Linked DNA regions of Pelodiscus sinensis. The protein of the gene in region 3 interacts with the protein of the main gene of each other region in a biochemical or structural test. Links are inferred from orthologs where the notes say so. Each region holds a gene or a part of one and is shown on either strand. Other genes may lie near its edges.

What was found.
Region 1: of the proteins of PPARG (region 3) and NEDD4, one has a biochemical effect on the other in vitro, tested with the Homo sapiens proteins (2 studies listed by BioGRID). The link is inferred for Pelodiscus sinensis from reciprocal best matches to the Homo sapiens genes PPARG and NEDD4.
Region 2: the proteins of PPARG (region 3) and KAT5 form a complex in vitro, tested with the Homo sapiens proteins (2 studies listed by BioGRID, with this or other methods). The link is inferred for Pelodiscus sinensis from reciprocal best matches to the Homo sapiens genes PPARG and KAT5.

The regions. Positions count from the first base shown.
Region 1 is NC_134724.1:28,002,320-28,009,515, reverse strand, and holds the start of NEDD4 (E3 ubiquitin-protein ligase NEDD4), read left to right. Parts: upstream 1-4,191; 5' UTR 4,192-6,086; coding exon 6,087-7,196. UniProt on the Homo sapiens protein: E3 ubiquitin-protein ligase which accepts ubiquitin from an E2 ubiquitin-conjugating enzyme in the form of a thioester and then directly transfers the ubiquitin to targeted substrates. Specifically ubiquitinates 'Lys-63' in target proteins.
Region 2 is NC_134721.1:32,635,620-32,642,815, reverse strand, and holds the start of KAT5 (histone acetyltransferase KAT5), read right to left. Parts: upstream 3,006-7,196; 5' UTR 2,861-3,005; coding exon 2,849-2,860; intron 2,769-2,848; coding exon 2,702-2,768; intron 1-2,701. Other genes in the region: RELA (transcription factor p65), read left to right, coding at 6,639-6,654. UniProt on the Homo sapiens protein: Catalytic subunit of the NuA4 histone acetyltransferase complex, a multiprotein complex involved in transcriptional activation of select genes principally by acetylation of nucleosomal histones H2A and H4.
Region 3 is NC_134721.1:47,571,837-47,578,790, forward strand, and holds the start of PPARG (peroxisome proliferator-activated receptor gamma), read left to right. Parts: upstream 1-3,952; 5' UTR 3,953-4,072; intron 4,073-6,954. UniProt on the Homo sapiens protein: Nuclear receptor that binds peroxisome proliferators such as hypolipidemic drugs and fatty acids.

The DNA.
Region 1 (7,196 bases), on a different chromosome or scaffold from region 3:
TACTTTGCAGTTGTATCTTACCTAAAAGGTTCATTATCATGAACTGGTATGTTGATTAAACCAAATATAGCCTTTTAACTAAAGTTGGTGTACTACTGTTGGCTAGCCAGAGGATACACTAGATCCCTATAAATATCTATTTAAGAAATAAAATTTAACATACTCTTATTCAAATTTGTTAATATTTTTTTACAATACGCCTTCACTATGGATTTGTCATCCTATGATTGGATGAAAACTGGAATTCAGTTTAAAATGTATAGAGAACATTTTAAAATTGATCTTTTTATTGGATACAGAAAATAAAAATTATCAAAATACATCTTAAATTTAAAAATATATTAAAGTATTAACTGTAGTTAGTTGACTTTCTGGTCAATGTGGGTCAAACTTTCTACTTAGGACTCTAAAGGCGTATATTGGCACTTATTCTTCCTGGGTGTATTTAAAAATCTCACTAGGCACTTCTCTGCAGCTTGAGATGACTAAATATCTTTGAAACTCTGGCCCTATGTCCTTCAAATTCTTTAGAATTAGGAGAGCTTATCCTCTCCAACCTTATTTTAAGTCATAGATGGAAGAAAACAAACTTCCCTGCTTTTTCAACTCATTTTCTTAACTTTGAATGAACTAGTCCAAATAAAGAAAATATTTTCTCTTCACCAGCTATGTAAGCTGAATCTAAAAATAATTAGGGCAAAATCTTTTCTGTTAAACCAAAACTGACAGTTTGAATTGATATCAAAAGATAGGCTTTCCCCTATTTTGTATATTTTTTAAAAAAAGAAGCACCTTTTTCACTTAGCAACTTGAAAGCTCAATGATACAGCATATTTCTTAAATTACATTAGTAAATGTAACCCTTAAATTTGAGAATGTCTAAAATACATTTTATTTTTAGAACTCTGTTTTTGATGCTTGCTAATTTTAGCTAAATAGTTAATATATTATAAAAATATTGTTTTTTTTTTTTTTAATCTGCCTTCTTGGAGACTGGCCATCAAGAGCATCAGCTGTTTTAGCAGATTGGCAAATGAACCTCTAGAATGACTTTTGAAGTTTTGTGCATCAGCTTTCCCTCAAACTATAATAGAAGTACTCAAAAGGCACTGGGATTTGGTTGTTAACTAGAGGTGTAATTTCTAAAAGCACCTATATCTTATTTTCGATAGCAGTCTAAATTGCTTACACTGCCGCTTCCCGTTTTGTATGTGTGCAACTGATTGGTTTTCTTTTCTAAGAGGAGTACTTTTGCATTTATCCTTTTTGAATTTCATTCTATTTACTTCAGACCATTTCTTCAGTTTGTCAGATTACTTTGAATTCTAATCCTGTCCTCCAAAGCACTTGCAAACACTCCCAGCTTGGTATTGTATGCGAACTTTAAGTGTCATTTTCTAAACCGTTGCTGAACGTATTAAACAGAACCAGACCTCGAACTAATCCCTCAGGGACTCCACTCAGTATGCTTTTCCAGCTTGACTGAATCACTCTTTGAATATTAGGGTTGGAAGAGACCTCAGGAGGTCATTGTGTCCAGCCCCCTGCCCAAAGCGGGACCAACGTTAACTAAATCATCCCAGCCAAGGCTTTGTCAAGCCAGGACTTAAAAACCTCTAGCGATGGAGATTCTTCCATTTCCATAAGGAACCCATTCAAGTGCTTCACCACCCTCCTATTAAAATAGCTTTTCCTAATATCCAACCTAGATCTCTCCCACTGCAACTTAAGACCATTGTTCCTCATTTTGTCATCTGTCACTACTGAGAACAGCTTATCTCCATCGTCTTTGGAATCTCCCTTCAGGTACTTGAAGGCTGCTATCAAATGCCCTCTCACTCTTCTCTTCAGTAGACAAGCCCAAATCCCTAAGCCTTTCCTTGTGCTCCAGCTCCCTAATAATTTTTGTTGACCTCTACTGAACTTTCTCCAGGATGTCCATGTCTCTTCTGTAATGGGGGCAGGGAGTCGGGATGAGGGCAGAATTGGATGCAGTACTCCAGATGTAGCCTCACCAGTGCTGAATAAAGTGGAATAATCACTTCTCTAGATCTGCTGGCAATGTTCCTTCTAATGCACCCTAATATGCCATTAACCTTCTTGGCTTCAAGAGCACACTGTTGAATCATATCTAGCTTCTCGTCCACTGTAATCCCCAGGTCCTTTTCTGCTGAACTGCTGCTTAGCCAGTCAGTCCCTAACCTATAACAGTGCTTGGGATTCTTCTGTCCCAAGTGCAAGACTCTGCGCTTATCTTGTTGAACCTCATTGGCCTTTGGAAATGGTTTTCCAACCAGTTATGCATCCATCTTTATGATTGCTCCATCTAGGTTGTGTTTTTCTTGTTTTAAGGAGAACATGTGAGACTGTATCAAAAGCATTACTAAAGTCAAGGTAAACCACATCTACCGCTCCTCCCATCCCATAAGGCTTGTTACCCTGTTAGGTTTGACACAATTTGATCTTGACAAATCCATCTTAAAACTAAACCTCGTATTAATCTGTGGTATAGTTTTAATAACAATGTTGCCTTTCTGGATTGCAGTGCCTTCTCTCACACTTAATGTGTTCAGCAATAATCATTTTTATTATCTCAACTGCAGCTGGTTGTCAACAGGTGGGATCAAACTTTAGACCTCTGAAGCTTACTGAATAAACCCATGTTGCATGAGCTAAAGGCCAAATGACGATTAGCTCAGGCTGTAGTAAATGCCTCAATCTCGAGATGTTCTAGGTACCATTAGAAGGGATCAGAGTGCCACACCAAACAGGCCTGCATTACACTGCCAGCAAGCTTCATGGATTATTTTTCAGCATGTACTTTCATCTGCCTAAGATTAGAGAAAAGGCAAAATTCTCTATTAGCACTAGCCTCTGAGAATCTGTCAAAAGAATGGCAGTTCAGGGCTTTATAACCTCTTGTCTTGTGAAGTTCCTCATTGTGATTTTTAGAAAGCAAGCATGGCAGTAATGCTCATGAAGTAGAGCAATCTGGAGAGAGAGGTGGAAGTAAATAAGGCTTCTGTGTTGAACTCATTGCTAAATGACAAGATTGTCAGGTCCAGCTGTATTCACTAGCAGGATTCTTTTGTAGCTGATGGATTGACAGTGACTAGCCAAGAAACCTATAGGTGGCCAGACACTGCTGGTTTTGCTATCCATAACTGGGTAACTGTTAAACTATGTGAGACATAAGTTTTGCTATTGCACTTCTTCACAATCTGGATACTGACTGGTAACAATGGTTACTACTTCCTAGTAGAACAGTTTAATGTGGGAGAAAGTGTTCCCAGTACATAGTATTCACACCTATGCAGCGAGGAAAGTACCAGTGAACTGTAGTCATTACTATTGCAAAAATCTTGGATTGTGAGATTTAAAACAGGATTGTTGATGTGAGGAAAGAGCTGGCAACATACATCAGTAAGCCAATGATCAACCAGACCATAATGGATCTGAAGTAATTTCATTATCAAAGTAACCAGGGAAGATCATGCTTCAAGAAACGTATTATCTAGTGTGAAGGGACACACTTAAATCTAAAAATACTACTACATGACTAAACCTCTGACTGCTTTACTTAGCATAGCTCTTAGTAAAGGAGGAGACATCATGCTTAAAAGTCTAATTCTCTTGTGGTGAATGTTGCTAAGACTTTTATCAGAGTGTTACTTTCTATAGCAGACTTGGATAACTTCAGGCCCATCGATGGTGGGAGGGTGCTAAAAAAGGCAGCTGTCCCAGGGCCTGGCAATTCAAAAGGGCCCAGGGCTCCTGGCCACTACTGCTATTACTGCAGCAGTGATAGTGGCCAGAACCCTAGGCCCTTTAAATAGAGGTCACAGCCCTGAGGAGCACACTCCTGAGGGCTGGTTGCGGGGGAGGGAAGTACCCAGCACAGTCTATGGGTGAGGCTGAGGGCTGGCTATTCTCAGTCCTGCCCCTTCTGGGAATGCAGTCACCTTGCCCAGGAGCCTAGCATTTCTTTTACCCTCTCTTTCTCCCACCCCTCAAGTAAATTGATAAGTTTAATTTTGTTAACCTGTAGACTAAATTAACCGAGTCATACTTAAGTCTCTTTGTTTCTAGTTTTTTTTTTTTTTAAGGCTTCTTCTTTATCAACTTGAAACTCAAAAAAAAAAAAATTGTATTACTTAATGGTTATACATAACTTTCTGAACCTGTGACCAAAACAGCTCTTTGAAAACCCACACTGTAACTTTGATTAGTGATGCTTGGTGGAATAGCTGAACTGTTTGTTATAAAAAAGACAGTAAATAAGCTATTATATGTTGATTAATTTCTAGCCATTAAAATGTGGGTAATGAGGTTAAATGAACCTTGGAGTATTAACAAAAAAACCTTGTTTGCGTGCAAACTAAGTAGTGTTAACTTTAGTCCTGGCCCTTATTTGGAGAGGGGATAAAGCTGTTCTTTTTACTGCATACTAACCAAAAATATAGAAAAGGTCATGTAAATATTGAGCAGAAAATATCCAACAGTTTGACCTATGATGAAGGGATAAATGGTCTAGTGTTCTCTCCTCCTGTTTGAGCTTTACCAGACCAGTAATTCATTCCTTCTTAATATGTTAGCATTTAGTATTGCATGAAGTATCATTTCTGTTCACTGCTATTGACACTTCACAGCAAGACTACATTTTTTCCAAAAGTCCCACTAGGTGCCAGCAAAGGGCCTTTTCTGTCAATATGGCAAATGCCTGGAGAAATTGTCATTTTTAGTCTTTCATTTTTGGGGAAAATTACCAGTATATTTTTAGTTTGATTAGTCTAATTGTGTTTCCATAGTGGCTCTCAAAGCACTTTATTAAAATTGCACCTCCTTTCTATTCTTGTTACTGTAGTTAACTGTGAATGTATAAGATTACTGTACAGTGTGCATACAGTACCTTATGGAATGTAGCTTGGAGTAGTCTTCATCTGTGAATTGTATGCTATATAAGCAGTTGTTTAAATATGCAGCATATACTGTACAGCTGTAGAAAGACCTCATATGAACTGTGTGTGTGAGATAAATACATATAAAATCTCTGTAGGTACGGACCTGAAGATTTCACACCAAAAGCATTGTTGAACATTTCATACTCTGCCTCTCTAATTCGTAGATAACCAGACGTTAGTCCAGAACATGGACTGCTGACCAACAATTTAAGCACTTGAGTTTGAAATGTAAAAAGTTGTAAAAGTGTGAAAAGTCTAACTCAGCACACTTTTAACCTGAAAGACTAAAATATACTCACTAGAAAAGAACCTCTGGGCTTCACTGAAACCTTGAGCGACAAGCTTTTAATCAGGAGGAAATTTTATGGTTTTATTTAACCCAGTTATATCTTTGTTAAAAACTGAAGTAATGTGGCACTGTAGGATTCCATGAACTGTGAACCATATTAAGTGTAATTCCAGTAGTTTTCTTAGGACTCTCAAAATAACTCTAATTTTAACCTTTTGTTAGTATGAAATGGCTTAGTTCATTGGTTTTTGCATAACCAGATGTAGTTTACTTGCATGGGTTACTATTTGGCAATTCAATCCTAGATTTGATACTCTGTTATAAGGGACTTCATTGCTACCAACTTCCTGTAATTCTAAACCTGTGGGTAAAAATATTAGTAGTCATACGCTGCCGCAGAGAGCATAGACATGTTGGTTAAGCTAGTGTAAGTGCTGCAAAATTTTCTGTTTTTAAACTCCTGAGAGCTGGAATATTCTTGGGTTATATTCATTTATGTACATTACAGAAGGTAACATTGAAACAAGTTTGGCAGCGTGTCAGTATACAGCAGCTGAGTTAATCTTGATGGTCGTTGGAAATCAAGTGCTTTTTAAGTGATTGCATTCTGTCTACAAACAGACAGCCCAGAAACCACAGTTCAAGGAATGGCTGACTTGTTTTAGGAGGTGCTAGTTACTGTCTTGCCGAAATAGGGACAAAGGCTGCATCTTTCATGGGATCTCACTTTTGCAATGTGTTTGAACTGGATCACAGTTCTGTGCAGCTGCCTCTAGCCTTTCTGCAAAAGGAGCTTTATGGTTCTTACTTGCTAACATGTGTGCAAATGAGAACAAATGGCACGACGGTTAAGATTGCATTTTGCAGCCCGAAGAAGCAACACTGATCCGTTATCAGAAACCTCTGGCGATGGTTTGGATAGTAACATTCATGTGTATTTCCAAAGACCTTCACAGAATTCTGCACCTGATATTATAGAAATGAAGCTGACTCCCAGGCAAGCTGGCTTTCCAACTACAATGCAGGAAATAATTAATCAACAGCAGCATTCAACTGTTTCTTCACTGCAAAAGAACAACAAAAAGAGCACCTCACTGCAGATTTCCCTGCAGTCTAGAAGGTATAGTGAATGTTTTCAATCTGATGCAGTAGTTGCTAGTGAAGACCCTTTCATCAGTGTTGGTAATGAAGGAAACACTTGTAGCAGGAATATGGCTGATTACAGATCTAATATGTTAAATAGTAGCAGCCATTTAAGCAATGCTACCATGTGCAATACTAATCTAGGTGATATTGCAGCCAATAACACTGGATACCTCAGTAGCACTGGGAGTGACTATGAATCGTGTGCAAGTATCACTAGTGATGGAGACTCATTCAGCAACAGTATCATCAGTGACAGTAGTAGTTGCACTCTTTCCACAGGTGGTGATACTTTCTGTAGTAATATTGTATATAGTACTTCTTCATATAGAAGCACGGCATACAAATGTAATTCCTATAGGAACAATATATCTCAGGAAACTTCATGTAGAAGTAAAAATAATACTGCTTTTGATCAAGATGGTTTGGAGCAAATGAAATTGCCAATGAGGAGGAAAACTAAAATTCCACTACGGCGTTTTTCATCATTGGTAATCTTTCCTAGGAATCCTTCGACAACCCCACCAACTTCTCCAACATGTTTGGGTCCCCTGCCAAGCAGAGGACCTTATCAAACATCACATCGATTAGTTATTTCTCCTACTGAACTGGCACAGAATGAAGATCAAGCAACTTCTACAGGGTTCACTTCAACATCAGTCAGTGGACTTCGACTGTCTAAAACGGTTGGCTCTCCTGGTGACACTAGAGACATTAGACCCCTTTACTTGAATAATTCATTACAAGACAAAAATCAGGCCACAAGTAGAGTTGAACAAAAGCCATCTGATAGTTTCTCTTGT
Region 2 (7,196 bases), about 15 Mb from region 3:
AGTTTGATTCATTTCTTTCAGTTCTAGTCATCTGGAGCATTACTTTTAACTATTGGAAGTCCAAAAGAACAAGGTCACACAGCTAAGAGTGCAGGTCAACTGTTTAAGATGTTTACTGTACTGTGGAAAGCAGCAACTCTGAAAATGACATGAGGTCATGGTAGATAAACAGTTGAATATGACCTTCCAATGTGACACTGTAGCTAAAAGGGTGAATGCACATTAGATGGATAAACAGGGGTATTTCAGGCAGAAGCTAGGATGGGCTATGTACAAAAGTAACAGCATTACTGGATATTGTGTCCTGTTTGGATGGCCACACTTCTAAAAACAAGCTGACAAGATGGAAAGAGATATAAGAATGATTCAAGTGTTTGGAAGACTCGCCTGACAACGTGTGCTCTGTGTGACAGGAGGAGGTTAAAAGATGGCTGGACGACGCTACATGGGAAAAAGATTCTTGACAACAGAGGGGTTGTTAATGCAGCAGATAAAGCTAGAAGTTGATCCAACTGCTGGATATTCAGGCTAGAAATGACTTGGAAATGCATCTTTAAATCAAGATTAGACATCTCTTTCTAAAAGCTTCACTCTAGCTCAACTCCCAGATCTGTGCTCAATGCAGGAATGTCGGAGATGGAGTCTCAGGCTTAGGTAATGCTGGTGATCAGACTGGATGGTCAATCCTTTTTGGCCTTGGTCTCTATAAACTCTGCATTCTGGTTTGATCTCCCAGGTGAACAAGAATTTAGCAGAATTAGATGGGGGGGGGGGGTCCACGATTCAGAGACGGCACCAGGGTGGGGATGGGGGAAGAGGAACTCTCCTAGAAAAATAAGTTATTGGGATTGTCTGGTTTACAGAGCAGATGAAGAAATGACACATGATAAAAGTATATAGAAAAATGACAGGGATAGAGAATGGGGATGGGCACATCATTTCCATGTCTTGTAGCATAACTGCAATGAAAATTTCAAGAACACTTCAAAACCAATCAAACAACATTCTTTTTCATGTAATACACCACCAGCCTCTGGAACTCACTGGCACTTGACACAGTTAAGTGCAGGATCTCAAAGGAGACTGGAAGCTCATAAGGAGGAGACCATCGAGGGTCAACCCGAAAAAAAGAACAGGAGTTTTGGAAACCTCCCATTTCAAAAGTTAAGCTATCTTCTAAGTATTGGGGGAACCCACCTCCTATCAGGTTATTCCAAAACAATGTAAAAGTTTTTACACGTTCCACTGAAACACTCAGCTGCATGTAACCCAGGTCTGATCTAGTGTGGCAATTAATTCCTATGGCTGTGGTATTGTTTAAGTGGGAACACTTTGAAGAGTATAAATTAAGAATACCCTCTACCAAATCTAGCAGGTGAAATCTCTGCAGAACTTGGGAGGGTGACAATATAGACATATGAGAGATTATTATTTCAATAAAGTGCGTATAGAAAAATACATGATGTTTGCACTAGAATGAGGCATTTTTCATACTAGAGATTTTTTCTCCAACTCTGGCAGTGTTTCAGTAGAACCAACATTTTCTGGGTCAGGAGGTCTCTCCTCTGTGCCTAGCACTGCAGAGTGAGAAAAAATCCTTGCTCACAAGAGCTCACTCCCCAAGTATATTTGAGAGATATACTGGGAGAGAAAAATGCACAAAAATGTACCTTTATATTTGTAGGTACCAAGGGCCACACTCGCAGATCAGCACATCCCTGCAACATGTGTCCACACCAAGGCCAAACTTGATCCTCAATACAGTTATATAGATACCGGAGATCATTCTGATTCTGGGGCAGTGCCCTGGGTATTATCCAGAACAGTGTTTCTCAATCGGTGGTACAAGTATCCTCAGAGGTACTCAAGAGAAGTTTGGGGGTAGATCAACAACTGAAATTTGGAGAAAACTGATTTTTTAAAAAAGTTTTACAGCACTTTATTATTTTTGTATTTTTTACACCCAAAAATTTCATCGCCAGCTAAGCTACGATTAAATTATTTAAACAAATGTGTTGCAATGGTAGAAAACATTGCATGTCTGAAAACTGTAGGTACTCAAGGTACTTATGGTTTTTTTTTTTTTTTTTTAAAGGGGCTACCTTATACAAAAAAAGGTTGAGAAACACTGATCCAGAGTCTCTCCCACCCAAAGTGTGACAGCTCTCGCCTTCAAATGCTGCCCTGGGATCCTTGACCATGACCTGAAATGGAAGGGATTATCCCACAGCTTTGGGGCACTCCCTTTAACCAGGAGATGAGTTGGCAGTTCCAAAATGACAGGCTAACATTTCCCTCCCTAGGGAACCTAAGATGCATCCCAAAAGCATGGCAAGCACTAGAGATGACCAATCATTCCTACAATCTGGGTTCAAAGCCTCTAAAAGGAAAGAGATGCCCAGCTCCACGTGCTTACTGCCCCCCTCACATTCCCTGTTTCCCCCTTTCATAAATGATGCAGCCTTATCCCTTTTTCCAACTGAGGTCCCCCATTGGCCGATTCTTCTATCCTCTGCATTGGGCCCATTTCCTCCTATACACTGGTCTCTTCATTAGCCTTCTGAGACTCCCGCCCGTCCTCCCTTTCCACACGGCCCCGTGTCCCTACGTCTCCCAAGATATCCCCCGTGCCTCTCATATACCCTCTAGCCCCTCCTCTTTAAATCCCACCCCCATCATTTAGCCCCACCCCCTCACTTACGCCATTCATCTTCGTTATCCTGGTTGCGACGCAGCACGGGCAGCCGGCAGCCCTCGGTCACCTCTCCCTGCGGGCGGGATGCAGAACAGTTAAACAGGAACCCACAGGAATCCCCCCGCCGGACCCCACCCTACACATCCCACTCACCACCTCCGCCATCTTGAATGCTCGCCGGCGAGCGGGGTCTTCTCTTCCGTTCCCCGTGCCGGGACGTTTCCGGGAACGCGTGGGGGCCCTTCCGGTCTGTTATAGCTACTTCCGGTCCACTCAGTATATGTTGCTAGCGTTCGGCCCTGCTCAGAATTACTTCCGGCAGCATGATTAACTCCTTCCGGTCCCAGCGAGGACCCGCTCCGGGGCTGTTCGTGGCGTTCGCCTGAATCGGAAAGGAATCTGAGGAGTTGGCGGGACCGCAGTTAGCGGGCGAAGCACGAATGGCGACAGCGGGAGATTGCCCCACGTACGTGCGCAGCTAGCTGGGCGCATGGGAGAAAATCATGTGACTCGGACGTGACGAGGCCTCTGGAGCGTTTAGCCTCACGAGGCCGGTTGAGGGCCCGGCAGCGTTTCGAGGGGTCCCCGAGATTCGGCTTCCCCATCGCCTTCCCTCCCTCCCAGTTTCTAAAACCGCAACCAAGTAGAGGGGGGGCCTTCAGTGGAGCCGCGTGACACGGGCCCCTGGAGCCCTGGGCCCGACAGCTGCTGGGGCCCACAGCCACCTAACTTGTAGTAGCCAGAGACTCGGAGCCAGGGCTCAGGAGTTCAAGCTTCTAACATGTCCACCTGCTTCCCAGCCCTTCCTTATTGACCTCGTATCGCTGCCGGGGCAGGCGAAAAGCACCCTTTCTGTGTCCAGGTAGGAAGCTTAAAGCAGAACTAGGACTAGAGCCCAGCTTTCTAAGTTGGTGTGGCAGCATCTGTCTCCATAGATTTCCAGTAGTTTGCTGTGGCACCACTTGCCTTGCCTCAATGACCCCAGGAATCTTTAATCTTCTTTTAGAGGGCTTTCTAGTTCTGTCTTGTAAATCACCCTCATATCAAGTTCTGACTTAAAGAGGCTGTTAATAGGTAGCCTTTTCTCTATGCTTGCCTAGGATCCCCATGTTGCAAGGTGCTGTAAAAACATAGAACCTGCCTCACAACCTATAAATCCAGAAATGACAGGTGGATACAGCCATGAACAATGAGACAATCTGGTCTGCATGCTGGGCAATGGGTTCACCACCAACAATCTACATGTCATGCTTTTTGAAGCATCCCATCAAAGGATAGTTTGAAGGAGCTCAATGAGATAGCTTTGCATGCACTTACAGGGAACTCATAAACATGAGTGATAGCATAGGAGAAAGGATGAAGAGGCTTAGTAGAAATATAATAAGTATGCAGTAGGGATGTGAGTGTGTATCCAAGTACACGATTAATCAATGAGTCTGGGCTCATTGCTTAACACTGTGTTACACGCCCCCCCCCCTGCTGCCTTTGACACATAGGCAACAGAGGGGGGGAGGAGCCAGCTTTTAAGATGGTTCCCATGTGTACCAGCTCCTGTCAAACCAACCTCCTCCCGCACTGTTGCCTCAGTGGGTGGGAGCTGGTATGTGCAGGTAGCCTAGCCTTCCCCCCCCCCCCCCCCCCGTACTGCTGCCTCCCACAGAGCGGTGGGGGATAAGGAGGAGGTGGGAGCTAGTGCTCACAGGAAGCCTCCTGCCCCCTGCATTGCTTCCTCTGATACAGAGGCAGCAGGGGCGGGGGGGGGGGGCAGTGGGAGGGAGGACAGGAGCTGCTGCTGACGACAGGGACCTGACTTAAAAACCAGCTCCTTGCCAGCACTGGCTTCCGCCTTCCTTCCCACTGCATGTAAATGTGTAGCCACTGGAAAATTCAATGGTTATAGATTTAAAATGTGTTTATTTGTGTAACATCCCTTTTAGGCAGTTAATGCTTGGCAGCATGGGCTGAAAATGAAAATGTATAGGTGCTGGAAGTCAGGGTGCTGCTGCACTCTTTGGCTTGAAGTGGTTTCCATTATGTTTGTGGCTTACAGTTTGGTTCAATGACTCTCAGCACCTTCTTGTAAAAACTGTTCCAGCAGCCCTGTAAGAGATGAGTCAGATGGGGATTGGCAATGGAGGGCCTTGAAAGGGAAGAGAAGCAGCTTAGACTGATACAGGAGAAAAGGGAGGGCCAAGGAAGGGAAGCAAAGAGAAGTATGTCATGCTCAAAGTGAGAGCCTGAAGAATGATATTTGCACCAGAAAGGAAATGAAGCACAATCTCTCCAAGGTTATGTCTACACTGGCGGGTTTTTGCGCAAGAACAGCCATCCTTCCGCAGAGCCTCCACACTGCTCGCCAGCTCTTACACAAGAAGATTTACAGTAAAGTGTGGTAAGAGAGGGCTTCTTGTGCAAGAACTATGCTCTTTTCTAACAAATGTAAGCTCTCTTGCGCAAGAGGGCAGTGCGGACGCCCAGCAGGGGTTTCTTGTGCAAGAAAGCCCTATAGCTAAAATGGCCATCAGAGCTTTCTTGAGCAAGACAGCGTCCACACTGCCATGGATGCTCTTGTGCAAAAGCACATGACAGTGTGGCCGTGTTCTTGTGCAAGAGTTCTAGCACAAGAATCCTTGTGCAAGATGTTCTTGTGCAAGAAGCTGCCAGTGTAGACATAGCCCAAGAATTTGCTGGGGGCAGAGGTAAGGTGATATGGTTGTGTCCTCTTTAAGGGAGGCAGCATGAGTTTATTAGCTAATGGTGCCTATGGTGTCCTATAAACAGGGAACAGAACAACAGTGTTGCTAAGAAATAGCCTTAATGGGCCACCTCTGGGATTTGAATCCCCAAAGGCAACTGCAGGGCCATTTATTCAACCATTTACTGCTGTGGACATTTGGCCTAAAAAACCCAATGGGGAGGCCACAGCAGCTGTAAGACACATGTTTCCTGGTTCCTTTGTGGCCTTCTCATAGCCTATAGGGCACTATAATGTCCATGCACAGCCCCATATGTAGCCTTGTATCACCCCCACTCTGGTCCCTGTATAATGCAGTAGGCCCTACCCTACTCGTAGTATGGTTTATGTCTCATGAATTGGTCCCTCTAGTCAAGGGCTCCATAATGGTCCCGTGTGTGATTCCTGAATGACCCCAGAGCACTCTTGGTTAGGTTCTTAATAGCCCCCACGTTCCCAGCTGCAACATGGCCCCGCCGCCTCTCTTGGCTTTGCAATTTGCCCTGGCTGCCTTCGTCGCTTCTGCGCCTGCGTGGAATCCCCCCCCCCGCGCTCGTTTGCATGAGGCGGGGCTTTCCCAGCAGCGGGGCGGATCACGTGCTGCGGGCATTTCCGCGTGCGGCGTAGTTTGCGAACGGATACGGCGGGTGCTGGACCCGATCCCGCCGGAGGACCCCGCGTGGACCACGCCCCTGGCCCCGCCCCTGACGCGGACCCCCGATTGGGCCCGGAGCACCGCTTCCGCCTAGGAACCCTTCGAGGGGCTGGACCCGCCCACGATTGGACTCGTCTCCCGCCCGGACAAGCTCCTCGGGACGCCCCACCAGCAGCCCTCTCCCGAGTGGGGCTGGGACACGGGGTCGGGATCCCCCTCCCGCCTAGGACCCGCACAGGAGCCACAATCCTCCCGTTCCCTCTCAGAATTCTCTCCGTTGGGGGCCTCGCCCCACAGAGGCCCCCATCCCCTTGGAGTCTAACCCCCCCCCCCCCCCGCCTGCCGTTGTACTGAGACACCCCCCCGAGCTCGCACACGTCCTTCTTGTGGACTGGGGTTTGTTTCCTGAGCCCCGCGCAGGAGCCCTCCCCAGCCTCGTATTCCCTGGATTCTTCTGGCTCCAAAGCTGGGAGCCCCCTTCCTTGACTCCCTCCAGCCAGGGAGCACCCACCGCAGTACCTCCTGTATTCCTAGCCTGGAACCTAGCCTGACTTATGGCAGAAATGGAAGGTAAGTGTATACGCTCACCCCAGCAATAGGGACTTTCCTCAAATTCAGGACCCCCATTTAACTCTGGGGTATCTCTTCTCCTTACCTTCATCTCTGGAGGGTTTGCATGAAATACTCATACAGCGAGTTACTGGGACAGTTGGATGTGTAAACGCAGTTGAGCTCATACAGATGTGAGTGTGGGGGGAGCACCCATTACTGGAGTGCTGGTTATGAATATGGGGGGCTTGAAGAGAAGCTGGGATTCCCCAGGAGTCTGGGTTTCCCCCACTTTGTCCCTTCTCCCCCCACCCCACCCATTATTTCCTCAACTGGGCCTCTGTTTTGTTTTGGAAAAGTATTGTGATGGTGGCTTGTGAAAACTGCTTCCTAGGCCTTGGTTGGCAGTGATTTCCCTGGTTGCTTTGGGGGTAAGGCAGGCACAGTGGATTTGGGATCTGAAATGTGGGAAAAGGAGAAGAGGGGGAATTGGTGTCTCTTAAGAAAGGCCAACACACTGGGAAAAACACAGGTGGCAGGATCCTTCAGACTGGAGGAAGGGC
Region 3 (6,954 bases):
GTAGTATACTTATAATTCTCAAAACAAATAAGTTATAACTTAGTGCAAGCTGATAATTTAACTGATTAATAACATAGTAAAAGCATCTTGATTGGTTAATATCTTAGGTTATTAACTAAATCACATGGTGTTAATATCACCTGCTGCAAAGAACCACAGGAAACACATTGAAGAGATACTTGCAATTCACAAGCCTCGGCCAAGTATCACTGCTTTAACAGTATGACCATCTGTCTTCTTGATGCTAGCACAGCACTAACTCTTATTTATATTACAGTTGTATCTACAAACCCCAATATTTACATACACTTAATATGAGACTGTCTCTGCCACCAAAAAATTACAATCTAGACAAAACTGAAAAAAGATAAAGGGGTAACAGACTGAGAGATGAAATGACTAGTCCATGATCATTACATTCTTACTATAAAACATTAACAATTATACAAAATGTGCACGTAAAGCATTAGGTAAATCACTGTAATCTCCCAATAGGAAATAGCTGGCCTATACAGTTACCAACTGGCACAAGTAAAAAACCAAGCTTGTGTTGGTAAACCAAGCCAGATAAATACAAATTAGAAATAAAGTTGTTTTGTATAATGAGGGTGAGTAACCATTGCAACAAACTACCCAAGGAACTGGAGTACTCTTCATCCCTTGAGGTCTTGAAATCAAGACTAGATATCTTTCTGAATCAATATTTAGTCAAACATTAAGTTATTGAGCTCAATATAGCAGTAAGTAGGTGAAATTCTATGGCTTAGGTTGTAGAGTAGGTCTTTATCTATTGGTCCTTTGTCACCTTAAAAATCTATGAATCCATGAAACTACATGCTTTTAGGAAAAAACCCTGCTCCCTGTATTTACCAGGTGATAATGTCCTGTCCTGAGAACATAGGCCAATGGTAATAAGCACTCCTGAGTTTTAAAAGTTCTTATACAAAGGATGAGTATGTTCTAATGACGGTAATACTTGTAACTGAATATTCTGAGCGTTCAGGTGGATTGATTTCTCTAAAACCAGTCTGAACAGGAGTTGGATATACTGCCATTTAGTCATGCAGTTGAACTAAACCTGAAGTTTGTTGTTTTTCTGAGTTGGTTGTGTATTTCTTAGGGCCTTATACACATAGTTAAAGGTCCTAATTATATGTTCATAAATGCCAACCAAATTTGGCTGGGCTACAAGTTTGTGTGTACAAATTAAAAAATAACACATATGTTAATCCTCAGATTTTCAAGAGAGTTCAACTATTTGGGGTAAATCAGGGGATCTCAAACTTCATTGTATCATGACCCTTTTCTGACAACAAAAATTACTACACAACATCAGGAGGGGGGACTGAAGCATGAGCCTGCCCAATCCTTTCCACCCCAGGTAAGGAGCCAAAGTCCGAGGGTTTCAGCTCCAGGAAGAGGGCCTGTAATCTGACCCCACTGAAATGGGATTCTAACGTACAGTTTAAGAACTACTGGGCTAAATGAAATATCCAGATTTTCAGAAGTGCGCAGCTCAGTAGCTCCCACTGAGAAAATGTTTAATTCTGCTGGTGACACATCAGGCAAAGAAGCATTGGAACTGCTGGGGGCAGAGCATTTAAAAAAAATCTGGCCATTTCATTTAGGTGCCTAAATAGTAGTTGAGTTACTCTGAAAATGTGCCCAGTATGATTTAGATAAAGTCACACAGCAAGGTAATGTCAGAGGCAGGAATGGAACTTTTGTGTCACACATTGCCTCCTTTGTGAGTACAAATCTGAAAAAATGAGCATAAGCCATTATTTTGTTTATGATTTGACTATAGAACCACAGAGACTAATTCACACAAAATGTACCCATTGTACTGTTACATCCATCCCTACTCTTTCCACGTATGTCTGTTTATTCTGTTTATCATCATCCTAGATTGTAAATTTTCTGGTGCAGAAACGGGTCTAGGTGTTATATCTATAGCGCCTAGCACAAAGGCCTCTGACCCTTTATTGAAACCATTTGGAATTAATGCAGCATTTAAAAGTTATAATATACATAGGGAAAACTACAGCAGAATGAGGTAAAATATTGCTACACAATGGATTTCTAAACTAATTGTCCAAAAAATATCCGAGCATGTGCTGGCAATAGCTCTCTGATGTGTCAAGGACTAAATTAATAACTACTTCAAACCTATGCAGATAGATAATTCTTGCATTTTTAACACACTGCTTCAATCCTCTACTGATAGACAGACTGTGCCAATAAACAAAAAGCTCTTGGCCATGCTACTGTCTACAGATAGGTTAGGTACATTGGTGTATTTAACTCTAACCTATCAATTGCTTTAGGTGTACAAATAATAAAACAAATGTAGAATTTCCTTTTAAGACGTTTCATGACTAAGAACTATGAGACATGTTGGAGGATTGTCTGGAATCTCCTAATGATGTCCAAGAGATCAAGAGTATTCAGAGAGAAACTATTGTATCCTGGGGGCATTTTGAATTACAGTATGACTCTCTAAAAGTATAGCTTATGACTTTCTTTTCCATCTGCTTGCCAAAAGCAGTAGAGAAGGTGGACTGGAAAGAGGTATTATGCTGCCTGTTTGAACTTGCTCTCTGGAGCCTCTTGAAGGAAGCCCTACATCTCTGGCTCTGGGACCATTCTTCTTCTGCAATGCTGTGGGAAAAGGACCCTTGTAAAATGAAATAAAAAGGAGGAAGGGATATACAACTTCACTATTACTATGAACATTTTCAGGGAACTCTCTAATCCCATTGTAAGAACATTGCATGCCCTGAGGTGACAAAAAGAGAAACTCCATGCGGGACAGAAAACTGGAAAGGGAAAGGGAAAGCGACTACTGATTGGGCAGCTAGAAATCCTGCATTGAGGGTACATCTAGACTGCACGCCTTTTTCGACAGAGGCTTTGTCGACAGATACTGTCGAAAAAGAGCATTTAGACTACAACCTGTACTGTCAACAAAGCAAGCCACTTTTTCGAAAGAGTCTAGATACTCTCTTTCAAAAAAGCAGTTTGCCTGCAATAGTGCCTTTTTTTCCACAGAGTGCTATCGAAAAAAGGCATGATTCCTCGTAGAATGAGTTTTACCGCCGTCGACAAAACTGCCGCGTTCTGTTCACTTAGGGTACGTCTAGACTACCGCGTTTTGTCGACGGAAGTTTTGTCGACAGATACTGTCGACAAAACTTCCGTCGACAAAGAGCGTCCAGACACATTGAGTTCTGTCGACAAAGCAAGCTGCTTTGTCGACAGAACTCCGTAGTCTGGACGCAATGTTACAGGCAATAACACCTTCTGTCGACAGAAGGTGTTATGCCTCGTAAAATGAGGTTTACCAGTGTCGACAAAACTGCTGAGTTCTGTCAATGTTATGTCGACAGAACACAGCGGTAGTGTAGACGCTGGTATAGTTTTGTCGACAAAAGTCCACTTCTGTCGACAAAACTCGGTAGTCTAGACACACCCTTCCTGTCGATAGAACAGAGCGGTAGCGTAGAAGCAGGTATAGCTTTGTCGCCAAAAGCCCACTTTCAGCCACAAAACCCTGTCGTCTAGACACAGCCGCCGTTACACTTAAGAAAAGACCCGCAGAGTTCAGCTTTCAAAGGCCGTAGGGGCCAAAATCTCTCTTCCACTACACATCTGTAATTTCACTGAGATTCTCGAGGCTGCATGGGCAGGACTCGCCGGACTGTGGCGATGGGTGAGAGGAAAGAGAAGCCACGCATCCCACACACTCCCTAATGCCACATACCCCAGCTCTCTTCGTGCCACACGCCTTTCTGCGCCCTGGCCCCCGGCCCTTCTCCACCGTCCCCCTCAGGGTCCCCTTTCCCGCCAAGGCTCCAGCGCCGGGAACCAACGGCCCACGCTGCCGCTCGCGCAGGAGGCCCCCAGCCAGGGCAGGGCAGCGCGGCCCGAGGCTCGGGGAGGGCCAGCAGCAGGGCGTGGAGGCGGCGCCTGCCGAGCAGGGAGGCGGCGCCCGTCGGGAGGACGGGCCGGGCGGGGGAGTTTATCCCACTAGAAGGGAACAGTTTCTCCTGCCGAGGCTTGACAGCGCCAGGTCAGTGCGCGCGCGGCTGCGGGGTGCTCTCTGCGGGCAGGGAGGGGGGAGTGCAGCAGACGGGGGGGGTCTCTTTGGAGTGGAGGTGGACAGGGGTGTACCCCGGGGGCGGCTGGGGCTGTGGGGGTGGGGAGAGGGACATATCCCTTGGCGCAGGAAGCAGGGCTGTGCTCCGGGGGATATTTGGGGCTGGAGGCAGGGGGCTCTTTGGTGGGGCGGCTTGATGAAGGGGGGGGGCTTCATGGAGTGCGGGCATGGCGGCACGGGATGAGTGAGGGAGGATGGGGCTAGTGCCCACGGGGGGGCTCTCGCTGGCCAGGGCGCTGCTCCCAAAGGGGCTTGGGGAGGAATAAAGAACTTGGTGCATGCAAGCCCCAGGGGGAGCTGCGACCTTGGGGGCATCAGGGGGCAGTGAGATACACACAAGGCTTTACCTTTGGGTGGCCTGTGGAGTTAGGAGCATAGGTTGGTCTTGGGTGCTGTGTGATGAAGAGGTGGATTATACTGGTGGGGGCTGAGTCTCATGCAGGCAATATAAAGGGTGGGGATGGTAAATATCAGTTAATTGAACAGTTGATTAACCTCATGAATTCTTAGCAGATACTCTACTATTCTATAGTTCCCCGGGGATGGGGCCAGCAGCCAGTATGTTCCGGCTCCACTCCCGAGGAGCCCCCTGCAGTCCGCGCTGCTGTCTCTGTACGCGGGGTGCCAGGCGGGAGATCGATTGTGAGGCGTTTCAGTTTAAAAACTAGCTCCCCTAATGGAAGAGCTGCCTGTCACCCCAGAACTGAGCTGGCCTGCCTGCCCGCCTGGATCCTAATACACTTTAAATGCTGAGCTGCAGCGGGGGTTGATCCCGGAGGCCAGCCTGCTAAAAAATTTACTGGTGGGAGTGTGTGTAGTCTATAGCATTAACCAATAAGATTTTGCTTATTGGTTGATGAGTGAATTGACTATACTGTTACGTCTCTAATAAAGTGTATTGGGGATAGGCAGAGGGACAGGGTAAATGAGTGCTGTATGAGGATGTGGGAATGCACACAGAGACATACGTCCATTATTGCTATATGTGTGATATTGAGGTATATAAACAATAAACTGTGAGCCTCTGGTACATTGTGATATTTGCAGGTGGCTATTTCCCTTGTTACAGTATGTGGAGAGGGGAAATAGCTGGGGAGTGTTACTCACTTTACTTACCTGATAATGAATGAAAAGCATCATTTTCTCTTTGACTTCTCAATCAAGAAGAGTCAGGAAGTCCTGTGTTTAGTCATGCCACAGCAGAGATATTATGTTGAAATATATTATGTATGGGTGGCATCCCCCAGGCTTGCAGTATTTTGTAATCCTCCTGGTGTCATTTCTCTCCACGGTATTCTATAGCTGGGAACTGCAAGTTCTTGTAGTGTTATAACTTCAAGGCAGTATATGCACATGATACAGTGCTGTGATAGTATTTTATTATAACATTATATCATGAAATTAGACAGATATCTATGTGTAGCCATTTGGAGGTAAGCATAGGAAGTTATAAAGAAATGATCAATTGTTACTTACCTTTGGACTTATTATTTAATAGTCTTGATACATTTAAGTTAAATTAAAAAGATCAATTATAATTGCCCAGATATTTAAACAGAGAATGTGGATTGATACATTTTGTTTGTGGCCTACTCTCTACATCTCCAAAAGAGTTGTTTGTCTGGAATGTTACATTAATGTTTGTCGGAAATATGAACCAATGTTCAAAAATATATTTCCCCCTACAGTCTACCTACGCATAATAATATGCATAGAGTAACTTTTTAAAGATGATAATAATGCATTACTTGTTAGAAGAAGAGGACCCAGTGTGGCCCCTGGGGTACACTGGAACTTGTATAACTTGTAGTTCCAGTCTACCTTTTCAAACTAGTCATGTCTATTGTTCCCTTATTGATATTAGAATATCTTGTGCATAGTTATAGTGAACATTTTTATGCCCTCTAACCTACTGGAGATTAGTGTGAAAAATTAGCAGAAATGTAAGTATGAGACAATGAAGAATCACTTTTAAAAAATTCTGTGCAAAGTAAATTAGAATGTTGTCAGTTGGGGGAGGTATTTGATAAAATGGTCAGACCTAGATGTTCAGATTAGCAGGTAAACATCAAAATAACTGTGGATAGGTATTCTAATAGGAGCTACTTTCAGATTTAAATCTTCTTAGACATCAGTTTATTAAAATATTGCATTATTGGTTTACATTTTTATATATTCCTGTGAGTAGCTCTAGAAGAAAGCATCCATTCCTTGATAAATAATACTTGATCTGAAAGGTATGTTATGCTGTGTCAGATGTTAGTGTAGCATGAAAAGTTTGTCATTAGATATACTTTCTATGAAAAAATATTCTCTTCCTCCCTGTTAAGTATTTAATATAGTCAGACGCCACAACAAAAAGCCTATAAGATGGTAACATTGATCAATATTTCGGCTTCAGTTTTTAACTTTTGCGTTATGATACCGATATTGACATAGCTTCTGAATCTAAGTTTTTTCTACTTGACTTTTCTTTCAGTTTCTATAGATCAGTTCCTAAATTCAGGCCCAATTCAGTTGATCTCAGTATAAATGTATTCTATATAGTCAGTACTAGAATCGTTTTAACCAACAGTTTAATCAGTCAATCAATAAATAGTGTAAAAGTAGAAGCAAAATTGTTTTGTACAAAGATAGGCAAACTAGTCACTGGAAATTTGTCTGGAAGCACCTTTTGATTTTTTTCAGGTGTATTAGCTATTCGAAAAATTCAGAATTATTTTACTGGCTATTTCTTATTCTGTAACTCAGTTGTCATTAGTTAGCTTTGGGTATTTGGTATTTGAAACTTGAGT